Linked DNA regions of Yarrowia lipolytica. The protein of the gene in region 3 purifies or fractionates together with the protein of the main gene of each other region. This does not show direct contact. Links are inferred from orthologs where the notes say so. Each region holds a gene or a part of one and is shown on either strand. Other genes may lie near its edges. The genes, in order: YALI1_C01720g, YALI1_F03855g and YALI1_E08545g.

The links.
Region 1: the proteins of YALI1_E08545g (region 3) and YALI1_C01720g purify together in Saccharomyces cerevisiae (affinity purification with mass spectrometry; 5 studies listed by BioGRID, with this or other methods). This does not show direct contact. The link is inferred for Yarrowia lipolytica from reciprocal best matches to the Saccharomyces cerevisiae genes RPN9 and NAS6.
Region 2: the proteins of YALI1_E08545g (region 3) and YALI1_F03855g purify together in Saccharomyces cerevisiae (affinity purification with mass spectrometry, with the first as the bait; 3 studies listed by BioGRID). This does not show direct contact. The link is inferred for Yarrowia lipolytica from reciprocal best matches to the Saccharomyces cerevisiae genes RPN9 and RPT2.

What each region holds. Positions count from the first base shown.
Region 1 is NC_090772.1:168,652-175,123, reverse strand, and holds YALI1_C01720g (uncharacterized protein), read left to right. Parts: upstream 1-3,068; coding exon 3,069-3,755; downstream 3,756-6,472. Other genes in the region: YALI1_C01694g (uncharacterized protein), read left to right, coding at 5,590-5,621, 5,665-6,076. UniProt on the Saccharomyces cerevisiae protein: Acts as a chaperone during the assembly of the 26S proteasome, specifically of the 19S regulatory complex (RC) and appears to have an overlapping role with RPN14.
Region 2 is NC_090775.1:381,299-388,434, reverse strand, and holds YALI1_F03855g (uncharacterized protein), read right to left. Parts: upstream 2,926-7,136; coding exon 2,923-2,925; intron 2,780-2,922; coding exon 1,472-2,779; downstream 1-1,471. Other genes in the region: YALI1_F03883g (uncharacterized protein), read left to right, coding at 116-1,120; YALI1_F03842g (uncharacterized protein), read right to left, coding at 3,484-3,932, 3,993-4,176; YALI1_F03830g (uncharacterized protein), read right to left, coding at 4,898-5,365; YALI1_F03803g (uncharacterized protein), read right to left, coding at 6,479-7,136. UniProt on the Saccharomyces cerevisiae protein: The 26S proteasome is involved in the ATP-dependent degradation of ubiquitinated proteins. The regulatory (or ATPase) complex confers ATP dependency and substrate specificity to the 26S complex. Has ATPase activity.
Region 3 is NC_090774.1:851,716-858,490, forward strand, and holds YALI1_E08545g (uncharacterized protein), read left to right. Parts: upstream 1-2,767; coding exon 2,768-4,033; downstream 4,034-6,775. Other genes in the region: YALI1_E08530g (uncharacterized protein), read right to left, coding at 461-1,339; YALI1_E08575g (uncharacterized protein), read right to left, coding at 4,214-5,815. UniProt on the Saccharomyces cerevisiae protein: Acts as a regulatory subunit of the 26S proteasome which is involved in the ATP-dependent degradation of ubiquitinated proteins.

The DNA.
Region 1 (6,472 bases), on a different chromosome or scaffold from region 3:
AGACAATTAGAGATTAGAACACACCCTTTTTTGCAAGTTTTACTACAGTACTTGTTTTGTCATGTGACATAATCTATGGAATATTCTTTTCAATCTTTTCTATTTCTCTCGCACTCAGGTCAGAATATTGTTGAGAGAGTCTTGTTAAAGGTGATACCCCGGACCAACCTGGTCAATTTCTCACATAGACATGAGAGGAACCAGCTTGGTCGTAGACAATGATGTCCATCCTGTAAGCAGTGTATCTGCCGATCTAGAATCTCTTTCTGGTGAATGAGCAAGCACACACTCTTCTGGTGTGTGCTACTATCGGAACGTAGGGTCCTGAAATGAGTTGTAAGCCGTTAACTATATATATCAATCATACTTTATAATTGATGTTCTGAGAATATTGCTGAAAAAAGAGGCATAAATGGACATGACACAATTTGGTTAACCGATACACACAGAAGTGTTGTTTCAATATTAATGTTTCAAGATACTCGAGTTTCTGCTTAGAAATGAGTGGATTCACAGTTAGGGACGTTGTTGGAGTTTACTTGGAATTTGGAACATTTATGCTGTGTGCGACATAAAAAAACATGTCAATCTAATATCTGGACAGAAAACTTAGCATATTCTAACAGCTATCGTACTGGTACACACTTGTACTTGTGCGTATTCCATTGGCACACGCATTTTACTCCAATGAACCTCAATTAGCTCGTCAGAGCTGGATCTATCGTGCCCTCTCATATCCGCCAAAGGATATGTGCTCGTTCTTGCAGTCTCGAGACTGATATATGTGGTTTTTTTTAGCAGACATATATGGTGTTTCAGTTTCTGCCGCTAATATGTGCCATCGCCGTACAAAGTACTTTTATTGCAAAAGTACAATTCCGATCCATTTTCATATAGCTCACATTGTGTACAAATGCAACACCAGACTTGTCTGTTTCATGTCCTGTCTCGTCCTTGTTGGAGATGTACTGTACCTGACCCTAGTCACGAGAAGCGCGCGATACGATAACTCCAGATGAGATACACTCGTCTAGACACGTCCAATACTGAGGTACGCGTCGGAAATAATACAGTACATTCTTGACAGGATTTGGTGACATGAAACAATGGGTCTGAAATGGGAGTACTTGGCGAAGGCAACTTGGAGTGACAGAATCGAGGCCCAAATACAGCGTCTTGTAGCTCCCAAAAAAGACCTTTCTGGACCTGGAACCGAGAATGCACACTTTTATTATGTCTGCGGGAGGAGACACATTTTTGGCAAGAGTAGACTACAGTAGCTGCGCATGTGCCCCGGCGTCTTGGGTCGAAAACAAATGTGCTCTGAAGCACATAGACAATGGATCTGTACGGGCTATGCGTATATCGGAATTTTTATTATATCGGGAATAGTGCAGTTTTGCCATTTTGCCAAGCCAGCCAGTTGGAGCGCGCAGATGTCAAAAAAGAGGCGTGCTGGGGTTGGCAACCCGCTAAAAAGGCATGGGGCGAGGTCATTCAGGGGTCGACGGTCTAGAGTCGAGGTTCCCGTGTCAAAATCGGACTAATATCTGACCCTTTGAGAGGTGTTCATTTAGGTCCCCCTTGTTGCATTTCATATCCTAACCTCGCTGCACAGCACCCGAAAAAGCACACAGCAGCAGCGTTGGGCCTTTGTCGGTGCCGGTACATACTTGTACGTCGTGTCTCTTGGCTCGTGGTCTACAGTGCCAGTATTATTTGAGAGTTTTGGTACAGTACCGTACGTATTGTCGCTGTATTTTATTATTTGCGGTGGTCAACAGAGCCCGAGTCGAGGTGAGGGGTTGCTGCCTGGCCGTGTATTTTCGACACTAATTACTGTACCGCCATCACTAGCTTGTTCGTCGACACGGCTTTTCCACTCACTTTAATTTAAGCCGTATTTTAAGCCATGTCTTAGATCCAGACGAAAAAACGGTCTACCGGACTTGGTACAGACCTTAAACCAGCCCGTCAAAATACCGGTCGAAATACAGTACATTTACAAAACAATATAGGCTAAAGGCCAATATAAAAAAGCGTGTTGTAGTTGGACACGCGTATTGCACGCCCACGTCCAATTGCTCGATATACCACGTACCAGTGCGTACATTGTGTACAGCGGACTGTGCATACACCAGGCGCTGCCGGAGGTTCGGTTTAATTACGTGCTTGTGCTCGGATGCAGGGGAACCAACGGCAGTCACCGTTCTTAGTTTACCGGCATGCCGAAAAAGGCACGGTTTGCGAGCAGACAAACGGGCTGCTCACGACGGCAGAAAATTAATAATCGGCCATTGTTGCGCACTGCTGGCGACGTCCGCCACGTAATATGACGGCATTGCATTACATGGAGGGGCTGGATAAGAAAAATATTGCAAGGCTGATTGGCGATAGATAGCCGAGCACGGTGTATGTTGGGTTGAGTGGGTGGGAGGAGAGCCTTTGGAGCACACTTGTGAGACAGGACAAGGACAAGTGTAGCGGCGTATGCAATTACCCGTGTATCTGGTAATTAATGATGCATTTAGTGTGGGGGTCGAGGCCATAGCAGGTTGGCGACTGGGCAGGCATGGTAATAATCAACAAACGAGAGCCAATGGGCGCTCGTGAAGCTGTCGAATGTCGTTATTCTCTACTGTTAAAGTAACGGTTGGGACAAATACTTGAACTTAGTGGGCTCAATCAAACCCCCTGGTTGACAGCCTTAATTCAACCCCAAATTTACCACCTTGCTGTTGAACTACGGGCTCTAAAGACCATGCTCAAGGTGGAGGGTCGGCGGTCCAAAAGCCCAATTTTCCTTTCCCCACACGAAGCGATGGATCGCAGCAATATTTTCCACCGTCTTCCCCACTCTGCCCCACAGTAGAGCCTCATGATTTCATTTCCTTTGAACCAGACCAAGAAAGAGGTTAAACCACCTCGATCAGGTCACGTGATCATGCATACGGAAATCTGGGGACGCCTCGAACCTTAAGCAATCGTACCATGATCGAAACCTGCATCACCACCACGAACAAGTCCTTCCTTGTACACACAAGCATTTAACACAACAAAAACACACAATGGAAACCAAAGAATACCCTCTCCAGGTGGCTGCGCGGGACGGCGACTTGGCCACAGTGAAGGAGATTCTGTCACGTGACCCCAAGCAGGTGAACCTGGTGGATTCGGACGGCCGAAGCGCTCTGCTGTGGGCGGTGTCCATGGGCCACAAGAATATTGTGGAGTGGATTCTGGACAACCAAAAGCCTGCTGACATTGACCAGACCGACGCTAGTGGCTGGACCGTTGTTCACATTGCCTCCTCCACCGGAAACATTGACATGCTGCAGCTTGTTCTGCCTCTGGATCCCGATGTCAACGAGAAGGCCAATGGAGGACAGACTCCTTTGCATCTTGCTGTGGGCAAGAACCGAATCGATGCCGTGCGACTGTTGCTAGATCATGGAGCCAAGCCCTCAGTTCGAACAAAGGACGGCCAGGGCCAGATTCCGCTCGTTCGAGCTGCTGCCAACGGCTCCATGGTCATGGTCAAGACTCTGCTTGAGAACGGGTCGCCTCTGTCCACCACCGACATCAACGGCTGGACCGCTCTGCATCACGCCATGGCCGAGGGCCAGGGTGACGTTGCTGTCTATCTCATCCAGCAGGGTGCTTCCGCGGAGGCTGTGGACAGCGACAACAAGACCCCCTTTGATGTTGCTGTCGACACCAAGGTTCTGGAATACGTCAAGTCTCAGCTCGCCTAGATGGTCTTATCATGGGATCGGCGACCGATTGCTATTTGTACAGCACAATTGTACGGTCGAAGAGCGCAATTGGGTAGCGAAACTGTCAAGAGCTCACTTGACAAACATGATAGGATGGCTTTGTCTTGGCATGGATCGGACCCGCTATTACTTCTATTTCATAGTCAACCAAATGCATACACTGTTGGGCGGACATTGGTGAATTGCCATGCTATGCTGTGGGGTTCTGCCTTTGCTCCATCATATCAGCTACCTGTAGCGCAAAGAGCCAGTCTAGCCGTACGTGCTGTAACCTTCGCACTTTCCGAGCCCACGGAGTTTTGTACGAAAGAAGACAAGGATCGTAGGAAGGGTAGAGAGTGGATAAAGCGCGTATAAAAGTAGATAGAGAGTTTCGTTAACGCGGTAAAAGGGATGCACGTAGATGAGGTAGGACCAAGCAGCATACGTGTACAAGTAAGTGCTTTACCGGGAATGTGTGTTTTACCGAGTACAGGTATGCACATTGTGTAGTGCTTGGTAACGGTTGAGGTTTTTAAGTGTAGACGAAGAGGTTTAAATAACTGTCCAAGTGATTTGTCAAACAACACAGTTAGACAATCATGCCGCATTCATGAGACGAACTGTCTCAGTTCAGTAATCCAGTCTCGTCGCAACCCATCCCTACCGGACCATACAGTACACACTTTGAAGCACAATGTGGGGTCGTACAAGGGTATTGTCACGTACAGTACAGTACTGTACAGCAACGTTAGTCCCTTGCCAAAAAACAAGTGAGAATATTTTCATTTTTTTGACCCTGCCATATCAGTGCGAGTACCAAGCCTTCTGCCTCATGGACTCTTATTCTGAATCAAAATCAAGGTTGAAACGGCCCAATACGGATGGCTGAGCCTATTTATTCTGGGTGCTGTGAGGGCAAGTATACCATACAAGTATGTACAATACATGTAGTATTAAGACTAATAGTCATATTGACATGCCTCGGGTGGATATTTTCAATTGTCGTGTGGTGAATAATATCTCGTAAATGTATCCTCAAGTGTAGTGCATATTCAGTAGATTGATTCAGTAGATTGATTTCAGCATGTACAAGGGTTCTACCAACCCGTTAGTGACCGCTTAAACACCGTTTTCTCGCTCTCTCTCCAGGTCTCGCGTACCAGTACCCACGCCGAGGGTCACATGACTCAGAATACAATCCTAGTGCCACAGCCGCGCGCTCGGCGATATTGACTGCTTGTGGCGACCGGTGTCTTGGAAAAAGCAAGAAATGCACCAACAGGCACATGCAGTAAGAGAAAAAAAACACAGTATCTGGTACAGTAGGTTTTAGCAGCAGCAACCACCAAGCTCCAAGCACGAAAAGCAGGTTGTTCAGGGGCCCCACAGGACAATATAAACAATGCGAGGATAATATTTCGCGAATCGGGGAGACGCATTGTCTCCATGTAGGCGGATCGGGTGTCACTTGCTCTCGCTCTTCCTTCTTGGCCAGTAATTGGTGCGCTATGTCCACACTGTTAGTCAGATAATTTTTCCCAAGCCGGCTATTTTTCGTGCACAATTTTTCAACATATATAATAAACGGATCGCCCACGGATGAAACCCGAAATGAAGACGGCATCGCGACCATCACTACGAGATAAAGGGTGTGAAACACGGGCCATTTGTCAACGTGTGTAAGCGCAAAAAAAGCAAAACCAGACAGCACTTGGACAAGTACACTACAGTACACACAATCGGTTTGCAAAAAGAAACGAGTATAAACGGCAGTCAAGGGATACATGAAAAAACCCACACCTTGCACACACGCAGTACAAAAGTAAAAGAAATGTGCATGGAAGGAGTTTGCACACTCTCGGTGTATCGGTGATGCGTCCCACACGTACCCGAGCAACCCGGTCAGCAACCGCAACCACTTCTGGAGCTACTTGTACTGGTGCCGAGAAGGTGCTCCTGCAGAGGTTTGGGTGTGCAATTCTGTCTCCACAAGTACTGTACAATACTTGGTTGAGGAGATTGTCCCACGGTTGACACACGCTTCTCAATTGATCTCAATGGAGACTGTAGGCACAGCCTCGGCAACCGAGACTGTCGTGTGGGTAGATTGTATTATGTCTCTGAATCTGTGGGTCTCACAGGATGCAGAGCGGCAGAAGGTCTGGAAACATGGACAATGTACGGTAGGAGTTTGTCGACGTTTGTGGTCCATCCGCCAACAACTTGGAAGTGTGCCCCGAATGTTTTTCGCCAAAACGTCTCTTTCAGGTAACATGTGGACCCAGCCTAAACAGACAGCTGTCGACCTGTGGGCCTGAGAGAGCAGATCCAGTGACGTGCTCGTACTGCGGCGGCTACTGTACGATGTACAAGCACACATTGCCAGACACCAGAACGTCCCAAATGGAAGCCGAGACTGCCTCTTTCAGGAAATTTAGGAAATTATGGCGAGTTGACAGTGGCTTCCGCAGCACATACATTCCCTGGTGACATCGGCATGAGCCATCGTAGGACAGTCGGTAGTCAGAAATAATAATCCATGCTTCACAGAGTACACAAAAGAACATCCCCTCCTTTGAACAAGACGACTGTCCTGTTGCTGCTGCTTCTCCTTTAGTCTCTTGGCCATAATACGAGTGCAACCGTGGTGGAGGGCGAATGGGGGTGCAAGATGGGGTACAGACGAGGTGGAGAGATGGAGGAAATTGCATTTT
Region 2 (7,136 bases), on a different chromosome or scaffold from region 3:
ACAAACCCAAAGTTCAAATCTGGGGTGAGCCGCAGGCCAGAGGATAAAGCTAGACCGATCTCTTTTCTGGCACTCCTTTCCAACACACCAAAACCCACCCTAACACATACACAGCATGCTCTCATCCACTCTCAGAAGCTCCGTCAAGGCCCTGCGACCGCTGCGGGCCTCCCGGGACCTGTCCTACGGCTTCATTGGTCTGGGTCGAATGGGTCTGCCCATGGCCCTCAATTTGCAGAAGAAGCTGCCCGGTGTCGACGCTGACTCCAAGGTCAACGTGTTCGACATGAACAAGGCTGCTCTAGAACAGATTGCCAAGGACAAGGATCCCAAGGGCGCCCAGCTGGAGGTGCTGGGCTCTGCCGTGGACGTGGCCAGCAAGTCCGATGTCATCTTCACAATGCTCCCTGAGCCCGTCCATGTCCGAGGAGTCTACACCGACCTGGTCAACAACCTCGGAGACAAGACCTCCAAGATCTTTGTCGACTGCTCCACCATTGACACTCAGACGTCAATTGAGTGCGGTAAGCTTGTGACCGACAAGGACGCCTCTGCTGCCTTTGTGGACGCCCCCGTCTCCGGAGGTGTCGTGGGAGCCGAGAAGGGCACCCTCACCTTCATGGTCGGGTGCAACAAGGACAAGCAGCAGGTGTACAAGCAGGTGGAGGAGCTGCTCAAGCTCATGGGTGGCCGAATCGTCAACTGCGGCACCCAGGGCCAGGGTCTGGCTGCCAAGCTTGCCAACAACTACCTGTTGGCTGTGACTAACGTTGCCACTGCTGAGGCTTTCCATCTTGCTGAGAAGCTTGGATGCGACCTCAAGCTCTTCTCAGACATTGTCAACTCCTCTTCCGGTCGATCTTGGTCCTCCGAGGTGAACAACCCCGTCCCAGGTGTCAACCCCGCTACTCCTTCTTCTCGAGACTACGTTGGAGGCTTTGGTATCAACCTGATGCGAAAGGACCTGGGTCTGGCCATCGATGTGGCCAAGCAGTCTGGATCCTCCATGCTTGTGGCTGACAAGACTTACGAGGTCTATCAAAACATTGAGAAGGGAGACAACTACCAGGGCAAGGACATGTCTGTTATCTACAAGTTCCTCCAGGATCAGGATCAATAAAACAAATACAAGTTTTAAGCTGACCCAATGAACTGTGAAACGTATTGCATAAACATTTCATGGATCATGACTAAATAATGAATGATGATGTATGACTTACACCCACTGGTTAGGCTCACTTGGTAAACATTTATATAACAATGTGGCTGCTGGTTGTAACTGTCTGTGTATTGGAATGTGTGTTGTCTCTATTAGGCATTTTCTACCAAACGTCTTTCTATGACGGCATGTACCGTTGCAAGTTATTCGATCTACTGTAGATGTTAGATGTTAGTATGTATACGAAGAAGTCCCCGTCAACCTCCACCTCATTGATGTATTTATTATAGTCATACGTTAATGCTTCTATGCTTACAGGTAGAGACCCTCAAGGTTCTCCTCCACCTTGTTCTTCATGACCCGCTCTTTAGCGGTTCGGAAATCCTCAGCAGTGACCCGCATTCGTCTCTCTCGCAGAGCAAGCAGACCTGCCTCGGTGCACATGGCCTTGATGTCGGCTCCAGAAAGTTCATCCTTGGAAGACACAAACTCCTCGAGATCAACATCGTCGTTGAGGTTCATCTTGGAGGTGTGGATGCCCATAATCTTTCGCTTGGTGGTGGAGTCGGGATTCTCAAACAGAATCTTTCGGTCGATTCGACCAGGTCGAATCAGTGCAGGGTCCAGCGACTCAATCTTGTTTGTAGCCATAATTACCTTGACGTCTCCTCGGTCGTCGAATCCATCCAGCTGGTTCAGAAGCTCCAGCATGGTCCGCTGCACCTCTCGCTCTCCGCCAGACGTCGACTCGTATCGTTTGGTTCCAATAGCGTCAATCTCATCGATGAAAACAATGGACGGTGCGTGTTCTGCGGCAATCTGGAAAATCTGTCGACACAGTCGGGGACCGTCTCCCAAGTACTTTTGGATCAGCTCGGATCCAACGATTCGCAAAAATGTAGCAGAAGTCTGGTTGGCGACGGCCTTGGCCAGCAGTGTCTTTCCGGTTCCGGGAGCGCCGTAAAGAATGACTCCCTTGGGGGGTTTGATACCCATCTCTTCATAGAGCTCTGGATGTGTGAGTGGCAGCTCCACGGACTCCTTAATTTCCTGAATCTGCGACTCCAGACCTCCAATATCGGCATACGACTCTGTGGGGGCCTTGTCCAACTTCATTACCGAGACCATGGGGTCGGCATCGTCTTGCAGCACTCCAACGACAGACACAGTCTTGTGGTGCAGCAAAACAGAACAGCCGGGTTCTAGAAGATCCTTATCAACAAAAGACATGATCGAAACGTAGTACTCGGGGCCAGAAGTGGACGAGACAATGGCATGATCGTCGTCGATGATCTCCTCCAGAGTGCCCACGCCCATGGGAGAACCTCTCAGAGTGTCAACCTTTGATCGCTCCTCGGCAACCTTGTCGTCCAGCGGGTTGAGACGCTCCTGATTCTGCACAAACTCTTCCTCCAGCAGCAGATGATCCTTGATTCGCTCCATCTTGAGCAGCTTGAGCTTGCATCGTGTCGTGGGGTACACGCCGGGCAGTTTGTTGGCGTTTTCGGGGCCCTTCTTCTTCTTTCGATGCGATCGTGTGTTCACGGGAGGCTCATACTTGGGCTTCTCGTTCTTCTTGTCGTCCTTCTTCTTGTCTCCGGGGAGTGATGGTCGGTTACCCTGGGGTTAGTACTGATTGTAGTGGTCATTCGCCACCTTGCGAGAATTGGATCAAAACCGGATTTTGTGACAATCGGCGTGTCGTGGCAACCGTTTGGCCACCATCCATTGCCCTCCAAGCGCAGAAACCGCGCTATACTCACCATGATGAATGTGTTGTGTTGTATGAGTTTGTAAGTGCTGGAACCTCTCTGGCTTGGCCACTGTGGTTTTGAGTTGTGTGTTCCCTTAGGCACACACAATTCAGTGCCGGGTAACTGTGATAAGTACTGCAAGTGAGTACACGATCAGACGTGCGTACAAGTAATCAGAGTACGGATCCAGACGATTTTTCGGGTGAGGTGTGTTTGCCACCCTTTGCTACTACCACCACGTGACCCCTTTTTTTGTCGATTCATACATTATTGTGCAAAATGTCCCATGGAATGTTCTAGGCACCATGGTAGAGATGAGTAAGCATTAAGCGAGCAAGCTACTATACCAATAGAAGTTAACGCTGAGGTTATGAGACCTGGTTACTGCTACAGTACTAATAGAAGCAAATTTGTAGTGACTAACAGTCGTTACTTACCCATTACTAAATCACACCCTTCAATACATTGCAACCATGACGCCATGACGCCACATCTACAAATAAATCTACTTGTACTGTGTGCTACTCATACGCCCACTGATATCAAGACTTATGCATATAAATTAACAGCCTAGTTCAGAAGCTCCTCGACCACTCTCTGCTCGTCCTCTTGAGACTGAGGCTTCTTGATTTGCAGCTTTTTGAACACGGCGATGATCTTGTCTTTGCCAAAACCCATGCTGGCGAATCCCTCAACGGCGTCTCGATCCAGGCCAAGGCGTGCGATCTCGTCTTGATCTCCTCCAGCGTTGCCACCGGCGTACTGGGCTGTCCATTCTGCTGCAGTACGCTCAAAAGCGGCCTTGTCGGTGAGATAGATCTTGGCCACCTCAGCATCCTGGGGGTCGTTGGGCTCGGCAGATTGCAGCAGCGACTGCAGCGAGATAAGCGACGATTTGAGCGTGAAGACAGGCGACCATGCGTCCTTGAGAATGTCGAGACAGATGGCGCCGGTCTGCGACGAAATGTTGGGGTGGTAAATGCGAGTGTCAAACTTCATTCGAGGAGGCTTGAAGGGGTCTGTGTTAGTTCGGCAGCGGCAGACATGGCCACATTGTCTGTGTGGCTCTCTTTACTCACAATCATTGGGGATCTGGATATCGACCACAAAAGTGCCGCCCTGGTAGGGAGTGCCGGGAGGCCCGTGGAAGGTGCCCTTCAGATGGGAGATGTCGGCATCGTTGATGGCCTGGATGGTGATGCCGGCTTCGGAGTCGGACCGCACATCCTCCATCTCTCTGGCTACTCGTCGGGCTCGTGACATTGTCTTTGTTGTATTTCTTTTCCTGTTGATGAGGAGGAGAGAGGGAGTCTCATAATGCTGCGCCTGCGATAATAGGTCCCAACCTCAAAAGTGGTTAGGTTGCAGCGGGTGGTGTTGCGGGGCACGTGAGGTGAGACTTTGAAGCAATGCTGTGTAGTGTATGTATAAAGATGGAAGGTTGCCTGGCGCATTTGAAGGTATTTGGCGCACTTATCTCACGGCTATTGCTACATACTACAGCTCCTGTTGCTGTGCCAAAAGATGGTTGCTCAGAAGAGTCTCTCCATCGCAATTACTGTAACGGACTGTCGAAAACTTTATATGACAGATACGACGTGGGTTGAGGGAGTGAAATACAGTGAAATAAAACTGATCTAAATTAAGCACTGGAATAAAAGCCTCTCCAACTACCAGTCGCACGCACAGTAGTTGATCTCTTGAATACTCAAGTACTACTTGCTTAGATTATTGCAGAAAGTTGCTATTAACGACATACTTGATATATTACAAGCCCCATTTCCATATGATTACTTCACTAAAACTCAGCTACTACTGTGAATGTTCTGTGCTTCTGCTCATACTTGTATGCGGCGATGGGTCTGGTTCTTCGAGCTCTACTCTCAAAGCTTCGGGACCACTCAGACCTGAAACAACAGCCACTGCTCGACAAAATCCTCGACAAAATCCTTCACAGTCTTGTCTAAACTAACCCAATCATTGTCTAGCACCTTTCGGGTTTACTCATTGTCTTGCCCTTGAGATCGGGAACCTCTTTGTTTACTGTATCCCGCAAATCCTGGTTGCACAACTTGGAGACACACGGCATAAGTCGCTGGTTGTCGAGGTTCTGGGGATGGCAGACACATGAGCTCTGACCCTCGGACGTATCTTGCCCGGGTGTGGTAGACAAGTGACCCTGAATGATGGTCCCATTAGTGGTGGAGTTGGGAGACTTCGCGTCTAGAGCAATACCACTACCAAACACGTAGCCGGGGTTGACGGTGGTAAGGCCAAACGAGGGCTTCTCAGACTTTATGAATCCCCAGGCCACCTTCCCTGCATACTTCTTGGAGCCCATGTAGGATACAAAAGCGTTGTCCTTATGAGAAGCTTCTCCCCATGCCACGGGAATCCACGACTCCTCGGTTACCAAGGAGGAATAATCGTTAGCCTCGTTCTTGTTGAGCATGGCTGCGAACGATGAGGTGATTTCCACGTGGGGAGCGTAGGTATTGCTTGACGATGACGACCTTGAGAACAGTCAGAGTTCTGTTGACGGAAGGCTCAGTAGATCCTTGACGGGGTCCTCGACATTGAAAGGTGAAGGAGAGGCGGTATGGAGCACGTATTTGATGCTTTTGAAGCCGAGTCTTGAACCCTCTTCAGATCGAACGTCGGAAACCGTCTCAAAAACCAGTTGTCCGGACTTGATAGCCTCGGAGAAAGCCACAGCTAGTCGCTGACCCTTTTCTTCTGATGGGATAATTCCCATGACTTTGTGATTGGCCTGGAGGAGTTTATCGATACAGTTGCCAGCAACGAAGCCAGCAGTTTACAATAACCAGATGCTCATGAATGAGCTAGAGATACCACTCCATGCGTTTACTTTGCACATGTTGAACTGAGCGGGGCTATATGTGATCCTAACTACGGTATATCAATGGCAATTCACTCGTGTTTGCACATAATTATTGCCATGGTGGTTACTATGGCTGGATTCCTTGTGATCGTCAAATTTCATATTTTCGACTTACTGTACTGTTTAGCTACTGCTTGTACTTTAGTTAGGAGTTTGTTTATAAGGGGGAAAATCTTCACCTGGGGATCTTAGTTCAGTGCTCTAAAGACATGTCAGGGAGATGAGAGAAACATCAGGGGATATCCTGAGCCCTGTAGAAAGGAAATATGCTGTATCAAAAACAGGCTATAGTGTTAAGTCTCAGTTTCTCTCAAATCACTGCTCCAGCCTTGAGTGCAATTTATTAGGAGTATAGTTGGTTTTTGTTGGACTCTGTTACAGTTTGAAGTGTAGGGCTGAGCTGAATCATCAGCAAGGAATGATCATGTTGCGAGACGTACTCACATGTGGAAGGGCACTTCAATTCTGGGAGAATTGTGTCTTCATAGTGTATATCTATTACTCCTACTTGTGTTCTATACATAAGGATGTGACTACAGCACATGTATAATACAAAGACATCCCGACTACGTTCCTGTATCTCGTACACTTGATGCTCGACAGTGTCTCGCACCTCATTAAATAACAACTCATAATCATTAACTAATTCAACACATGACTAAATTAGTCCTTCTTGACGTAAAGGTCAACGTACTCGTCAATGTCCATGTTGACAATATCCTGGTTAGAGGCAGCGAGAATCTTCTCAACCTGTCCCTCAGGGAATCGTCCACGGAGATGTCGAGCAAACTTCTCAAGGAGAACGGGGGTACCCTCCTCTCGTCGCTGTCGGTGGCCAATGGGGTAGTTGACCTCGATCTCGTCGAGCACGGTGCCGTCCTTGAGAGTGATCTCGATGGCGTTACCGATGTATCGCTTGTCGGGGGCGTGGTACTCCTCGGAGAATCGCTTGTCCTCAACACACTCCATCTTCTCTCGGAGGGCGTCAATTCGGGGGTCGGAGGCGATCTCGTCAGTGTAGTCGTCAGCGGTAAGTCGGCCGTGGATGAGAGGAATAGCAACCATGTACTGGATGCAGTGGTCTCGGTCAGCGTAGTTGTGCAGGGGACCCTTCTTGTCGATGATTCGCATGGCGGCCTCCTGGGTTCGGATCTTGATGGAGGCAATGTCATCGGAGGTCTTGCCAAGCTTCTTGAGCTCCTCGTGGAGCAGCATGGCAGACTCGCAGGCGGTCTGGGCGTGGAACTCAGCGGGGAAAGAGATCTTGAAGAGAACGTTCTCCATGACGTAGGAGCCGTAAGGTCGCTGGAACTTGAACTCC
Region 3 (6,775 bases):
CGATAAGGAGGCGTGAGAAAGGAATATATTTGGGTGTTTTGTGACAGGAGACGATGGTTAAAGAAGTGAGACTATAGTTCGCAACCATATAAATCGATGGTGACGATTTGATGTCTACCAATCTGCGTTTGATTCGGCGTTATGTCATCTCGAATTTACTCGACCTTAGTTGAGTTGACGAAGTATTGTTAGCAGTTATTGTTAAGACTTCACGCGATTCACAACACGACATTCTGTTGTGGACAGCAACGTCTTAATATACAGCAGTGTATGAAAAACTCTCCTATTACAACATACAGTACATACTATGCCTCTTTCTACGAATCTCAATGCTTCCGTTGCTCGCTCTATGAGCAGTACTGTACTCAATATGTTAATCTATCTGGTTGTGACGCCATTACATCACTGTGTTCGTTTGCTCGTCTATTGAACGAGCTGTGCGTTTTGTGAGCCCATATTTCTAATTTCTTAGGAGGCAATTCGTGCCGGGCTTCTCGTACCATCCGCCTTCAATCAGGTCAGTCTCTAGAGAGGCCCAGTAGTCTCGCTTCTCAGAAACAGACTTGAGATCAGCATCGACAATCTTTCCATTAACAGAGTCGCCCTGAACGTGCACAAATAGTGACACGTCTCGCATGGTCATAGCTGTGACAAACTGAGGAGGCACCTGGACGTAATTTGCGTAACCCAGAATACCCAACTCGTCTCCATGCTGCATGTGTCTGATCTCGGCGAACAGCTCTGAATTCGAGAAGAACTTGGCAAGAGGCTCGAACTGCTTTTGTGTGCCGGGGAACACGTCCTCTAGAGCTTGCAGCGATGTCTGTTCGTCTTCGTTGAAAAGCTTGAGAGGGCAGATTCGAGGCTTCTCTCGCTTGAGCTGTAACGCGCAGGTTCGGCAGTTGATGCTGTCCTTGGGTGCTGTTGGGCTCTGAAGCAGCCACTTGGGCTTCAATTCGACCGTATATGACTCCCAGTTGTCGCTGTAGTTGATTTTGACTGCGTGGGACTTGAGCACGTTGGTTTCATTTGGTTTAGGCCCCAGGTTCTCCATGAGCAGACCCAGGGGCTCTCCGAGATCGAGATTCTCGGCCTCGGGAAGCGACTCGAGGAACCCCAGAGGCAGATTCACAACTGTATAGTGAAACAGAAAGGGGCCAATGGCCGGTCGGATTGTTCCAGTTAGATACTCGTCCACCTCGGCTGTGGAAGGGGCGTTTCGGTTTCGTCGCAGTCGCAGAAGCAGATCGGTCTCATCGCTCTTGTAAACCACGTTGGCGTTACCTGCCGTTAACAGGGTCCATTTGTAGGGAGGCAGCGGTGTCGGTAGCGAAGACATGATGGTAGTTGAATCATGAGAGTGGATTTCCGAACGCTATAGAGTTGTATATGAGGGATCTGGTTAAGGTTGATAGAGAAGAGCCAGAAGTTTAACACGTGTTGGGGGAGAGAAGGGGTGACGAAAAAAGGGGTGGGGAAGGGAGGTTTTGGTGGCGTGAAAAATGGAATCAATATAAGTCGAGATTTGGAATTAAATTCATATTTTAGAATTGTTATACGAATCCCATAACCCCCCACTACCGTGACCCCTCTAGTACAGTATTATTCACAGTTGACGTGTACATGCACAAGTACAATCAAGTACTCCATGCATTGTCAAAACTATAAATAAATGTATAATGAAAAACATGTTCGAGTTTGAAAGCAGTCGGGTGCAACGATGACTAATTTGTGTTGTTTGGGGCAGTTCTAGTAGCAGAAGTGCCTGTAATCTGTTTCGCTTCACCCACAAGTATCTATGATTGCCCCCTTACTCTGTTTTTGGCCCCTATTTGCCACTCTTCAGACCTTTGACAAACTCACATGTACAATGATGTCAACCTAACGACGTCTGGGCTTTACATCTGATACATTTCATTTGAATAATGAGAGTTTTAAAAGTTTTAGACAATCAGTGAAAAAATAAACGAGTAAAACTTTCGGGAGAAACGCCTCTGGATGATTTTGGAACCCATCTGGCGAGCTTTTAACAGCGTGGAAATACGGTCGGATCGTCTCACGTGATACACGATAGAGATGCATGGAAGTGTCCGCGTACTACAGTTCAAGTTATGGCTATAGTGCAAGCTTAGGATGACAAGAACTCCAGAAATGGGCTGAACTCAATAGAAGCATAAAACCGTTTCGAGGACTGGCCTGCGTTTGATTGTATCAGAACAAGCCGCAGATTATTCCAGGGATGAGAAGAAGAGGTATCAGAAGAGCTACAAGACAAGGACAGCTCGAGTAGAATCAGGTGATCAGGGGCTTTCTGCTAGTACCCTAAATAATGTACTTCTTCTCATGAGGGGATGTTGGTAAGTAAATGATATTGCTTGAGGATAACTGATACCGAATGAGTACAGCAGTCTAGTAGTGAAGGAGTTATGGAACTCTTCTATATTTTTTACAATAGCTGTACACAAGTACTATTTACTTGTACTTGTAATTACAGTGATCTAGATCACAAAACGGCACCCTCCTTTAAATGTGATGTTTGCGGGAATTGAACCTAAGATGTTATAACATTCGGTTAAGTAATTAATTAACTTAAGGTCAACGAGTCATCGGCCATTACTTTAGGAATTATTTCCTCTCCAACACCATGATTTGATATCAGTCCGAAGTTTTGAAAAGATTTTATGGCATTACAACACCCTCTTTTATAATCCACATACTTTTTTTTACAATTACTAGTCATAATTGCCACAATAATCAGGCTCCTCTAATGGCCACCTATCTACTACTAAACCTTAATCCTTGCCAACCTTACCCACCAACATCACCATTGCCACCCACACTGCACAATCAATCACACGACATCACAATTGCGACAATGGAAATAGACAACGACGTGCCCACTATCCTGGCTACTCTCCGAATGGAGGCCGATCCCGAGCTGGCCGCAACTTTCTACTCGTTGGAAGATCTGTGGGAGCGAAAGCTGTGGCACCAGCTGACAGATGCGCTGGCCGAGCTGTACGCAGACCCCCGATCCAAGCCTCTGCGACTGCGAATCTTCACGCAATTCATCCAGGTTTTTGAGCGCAACTTGAACCAGCTGAAACTGGTCATTTTCGGAGTGCTGGCAGCTGCCCAGTGCAATAACGACGAGGAGACCTTGGGCTTCCTCACCAGCCTCGCAGATAAGGTCAGCCACAAGCCCGACACCCAGGATGCGTACGTGTACGCCCAGATTGAGATTGCACGAGTCAAGCTGCGTCTCAAGGACATGGATGGCGCTCGAGAGGTGCTCAACTCCGTCACCGGCACCATCGACTCTCTGAACTCTGTCGATCCCATCATTACCGCCGCCTACTACGGCGTCAACGCCGACTACTATCTTTCCAAGGGCGACTTCAACACCTACTACCGTAACGCTCTATTGTACCTGGCGTGCATCGATCTGTCTACTTTGTCGGTGGAGGCCGTCCAGAAGCGAGCCCATGAACTGTCTGTGGCAGCCCTGTTGGGAGAGAAGATTCACAACTTTGGAGAGCTGTTGCTGCATCCCGTACTGGACAGTCTGAAGAACACAGAGTACGCTTGGTTGCGAGACCTGCTGTTCGCACTGAACCAGGGCGACATCTCCGAGTTTGAGAAGCTCACATCGCAGCATGTTTCCAAGCTGCCTCCTCTCGAGGCCGCCATGCCTCTGCTGCGACAAAAGATCTGTCTGACAGCACTGACAGAGGCTGCCTTTAAGCGACCCACCAACGACCGAACTCTGACCTTTGCCGCAGTGGCAAAGGAGACTCAGCTGCCCGCAGACGAGATTGAGCATCTGGTCATGAAGGCGCTGTCGTTGGAGCTCATCAAGGGCCACATTGACCAGGTTGCTCAGACCATCACTATCACATGGCTGCAGCCCCGAGTGCTCAACAAGCAGCAGATTGCCGACATGAAGCAGAGACTCGACCAGTGGGACGCCAACGTCAAGCAGTTGGGTGGATGGATTCACGACCGAGGTGAGGGTGTTTGGCTGGAGGCTTAGGCACAGGTGACTTATAGCATGTATGAATAGATGTATGATCATGACACGTGTAATCAGCGGAGTATCTGCCTGGTGGGCTCTACTATCTCTAGCAGCTACAATGTAGTATCTCCTGCGTGTGGCGGTCACTCTATAATACCAATATAATGATTCGATCAATAATAAATATACATAAATAATCTACTCGACGGACTTGTCGCTCTGAGCGGGGTCCGTCTGGTTCATCTTTGTTAGCTGAGGAACTCCCTCAACCTCCATACCCTCGAGCTCCAAGTTGCTCTGAGGTCCTTCAAACCACTTGTGGGCCCATCCAAAGTAGTAGATGAGCGAGCCAGCCCACACGGCCACGTTAATGACACAGGTGTAGTTCATGTTGTCCTTGTTGGGGTTGGGTCCCTCCAGAGGGAACATCAGCAGACAGATGGCAAAACACAGGTAAAGCACAGCAAAAGTCGAAACACACTTGGAGATCACACGACCAAGGTAGAAGGGTCCAGGCACGAAGTTCTTGTAACCCCAGATGAGTCTGCAGGCGATAGGAGTCATCCATGCCAGGTCGTTAGAAGCAGCAGCCAGAGAGAAGAGGGCAGCAGCAGCGGCTGCGTCGATCATACAGAGACATCCAATGACCAGCCCGAGTGTGCAGTTGCCCCAGACGGCTCGCACGGGGATTGAGACCTTGTGGTTGACGACCTTGAAGAAGTTGGAGAAAGGAAGGGCTCCGTCTCGAGCAAAGGCCCACGACTGTCGCGAGGCTGCCACAACGATAGACAGCCCCATGGTCCACTGGAGCACGAAGATGATGACCATGAGAGCGAGGGTCCACTTCTTTCCGAGACAGTCGTAAATTAGCTGTGCCATCGGCTGCTGGAAGGGGGTAGAGAGGATTCGTTCAGTGTCGGGAGCCATCACGCAAGCCAGAACGATGTTGATGACGAATCCGAGAACCCAGCACATTCCAATCGAAGAGATGATACCGAAGGGCACGGCTTTGGTTGCGTTGGAGGCCTCCTCGGCCATGTGGACACACGAGTCGAACGAACCAATAGTCCAGATCGGGGCTAGCCAGCCCAGGAAGAAAGTCCATCCAGTAGGCCAGGTGGTGAGGTTTTCGAGCTTGCCGAAAATGTAGGCTCCGTCATGTAGGTTGTGTCGTGCACCAATAGGCAGAGCAATGATGGCAATGATAATGATGGCAATGTTAAGAACAATGCAGCCAGTCTGGAGTTTGGACATTCCATCAGACGCAAGAGACGCAACGATAGCGTGAGAAATGATGCAGGCAGCAAACACGCCGTAAACCGTGTACTTTGTTGCGACGTATTCTCCATCCGTAGCTACTCCTGCCACAGCTAGTACCAGCTGGGCGAATCCGTAGTCGATACTGACAATACCAGCTGTCAGACCGAGAGTGTTGGAGTAACCGACCAGAAAACACAAGGGACGCTTGAGCTTTGGGGTAGCAAAGTGGTAGGTCCACCAGTAGAGTCCTCCAGATGTGGGCAATGAGGAGCCAAGTTCGGCCATAGACAGCCCGACCATCATGATGCAAAAAGAAGCCACAAACCAGCCCCACACCATCCCTGCTGGTCCTGAGGGCATGGAATAGACCAGAGCCGAGGAAATGGAGGGAAACAAACCCATGATACTGAAAGCGATGCCAAAAACTTGGATCATAGAGTAGTTTCGTTTGAGCTCGGGCTTGTAACCCATCGTGGCCAGCACGTTGGCGTCTCCACTGGGAGGGTTTTGTCCATATCCTTCTTCGATTTTGTCGTCCATTAGAATGATGCTAGGAGTCTATGAGACCGGCGGACGCCCCAGGGCATATATAAACCGATCCGGGGGCGTTTCCAATTGCCCGGGACTGTTTAACTTCGGTCGATATCGGCTACTGGTCGGGTATGATAGCGTTTGTTCTTTGTATCTCCAGAACCTACACACCCTGGTTAGCAACTGTATGTGACCCGAGGGGAATGTGGGGTATGCGTGTGACGTGTTTCGTGAAGTACAATACCATTGTGATGATTTGTTGTTTCCTTGTTTGTATATGTGGTGGTAGGCCCTGTTAGTTATGTTGACAATATCGTCTTTTTCCCACTTGTCATAAAGTCGATCTATGGTGCATACTTTTTTTCATATCTTGTTTGCCAAGGCTTGGCGACTGACTTTCAGACTGTTATCATATCAGGCGAACTCAGACGCAGTAGACTTCGTGGGGTAATATGGAAACGGCATTTTTTGACGCCGGGCCCCTTGATAGAGTGCGCGTGAGCCAATAACGTGCCTTTGTTGCTGTGTCGAAGGCGTGATCCAAACACAATGCTAAGCATAGTTCAACTTTGATAAGCCCGGTGGTTTTTGCGAGGTGAGTTTGGGATTTGAGGTGGTCTAAGAACACCGATTTTTTTATTGTAGAGTATATAAATGTGACTGCTTCTATTGGACGTCACTTTATTACGTCTTTTACACCTTGCTATCTGCTTCAAATGACGTCTTCGTTGGCTGTTCGTATGCGACCAACTCGAGATGAGGTCAGGTGTGCTTACTCCCAGCCCTGCAAGCTTATTTCAGCTCTGATCGAGAGACACCAAGACACTGTCACTTGAAGGAAGAATTTGTCAGCAGTTGTGTGTATTCGTACCAGGGGCACATCAGTTACGAGTGTGCAAGAATGACGCTGTGAGAAGAAGAGTGTCTCAAGTGTGACGTGCAGGGCAAGATCTCACCATTACAAGTGCG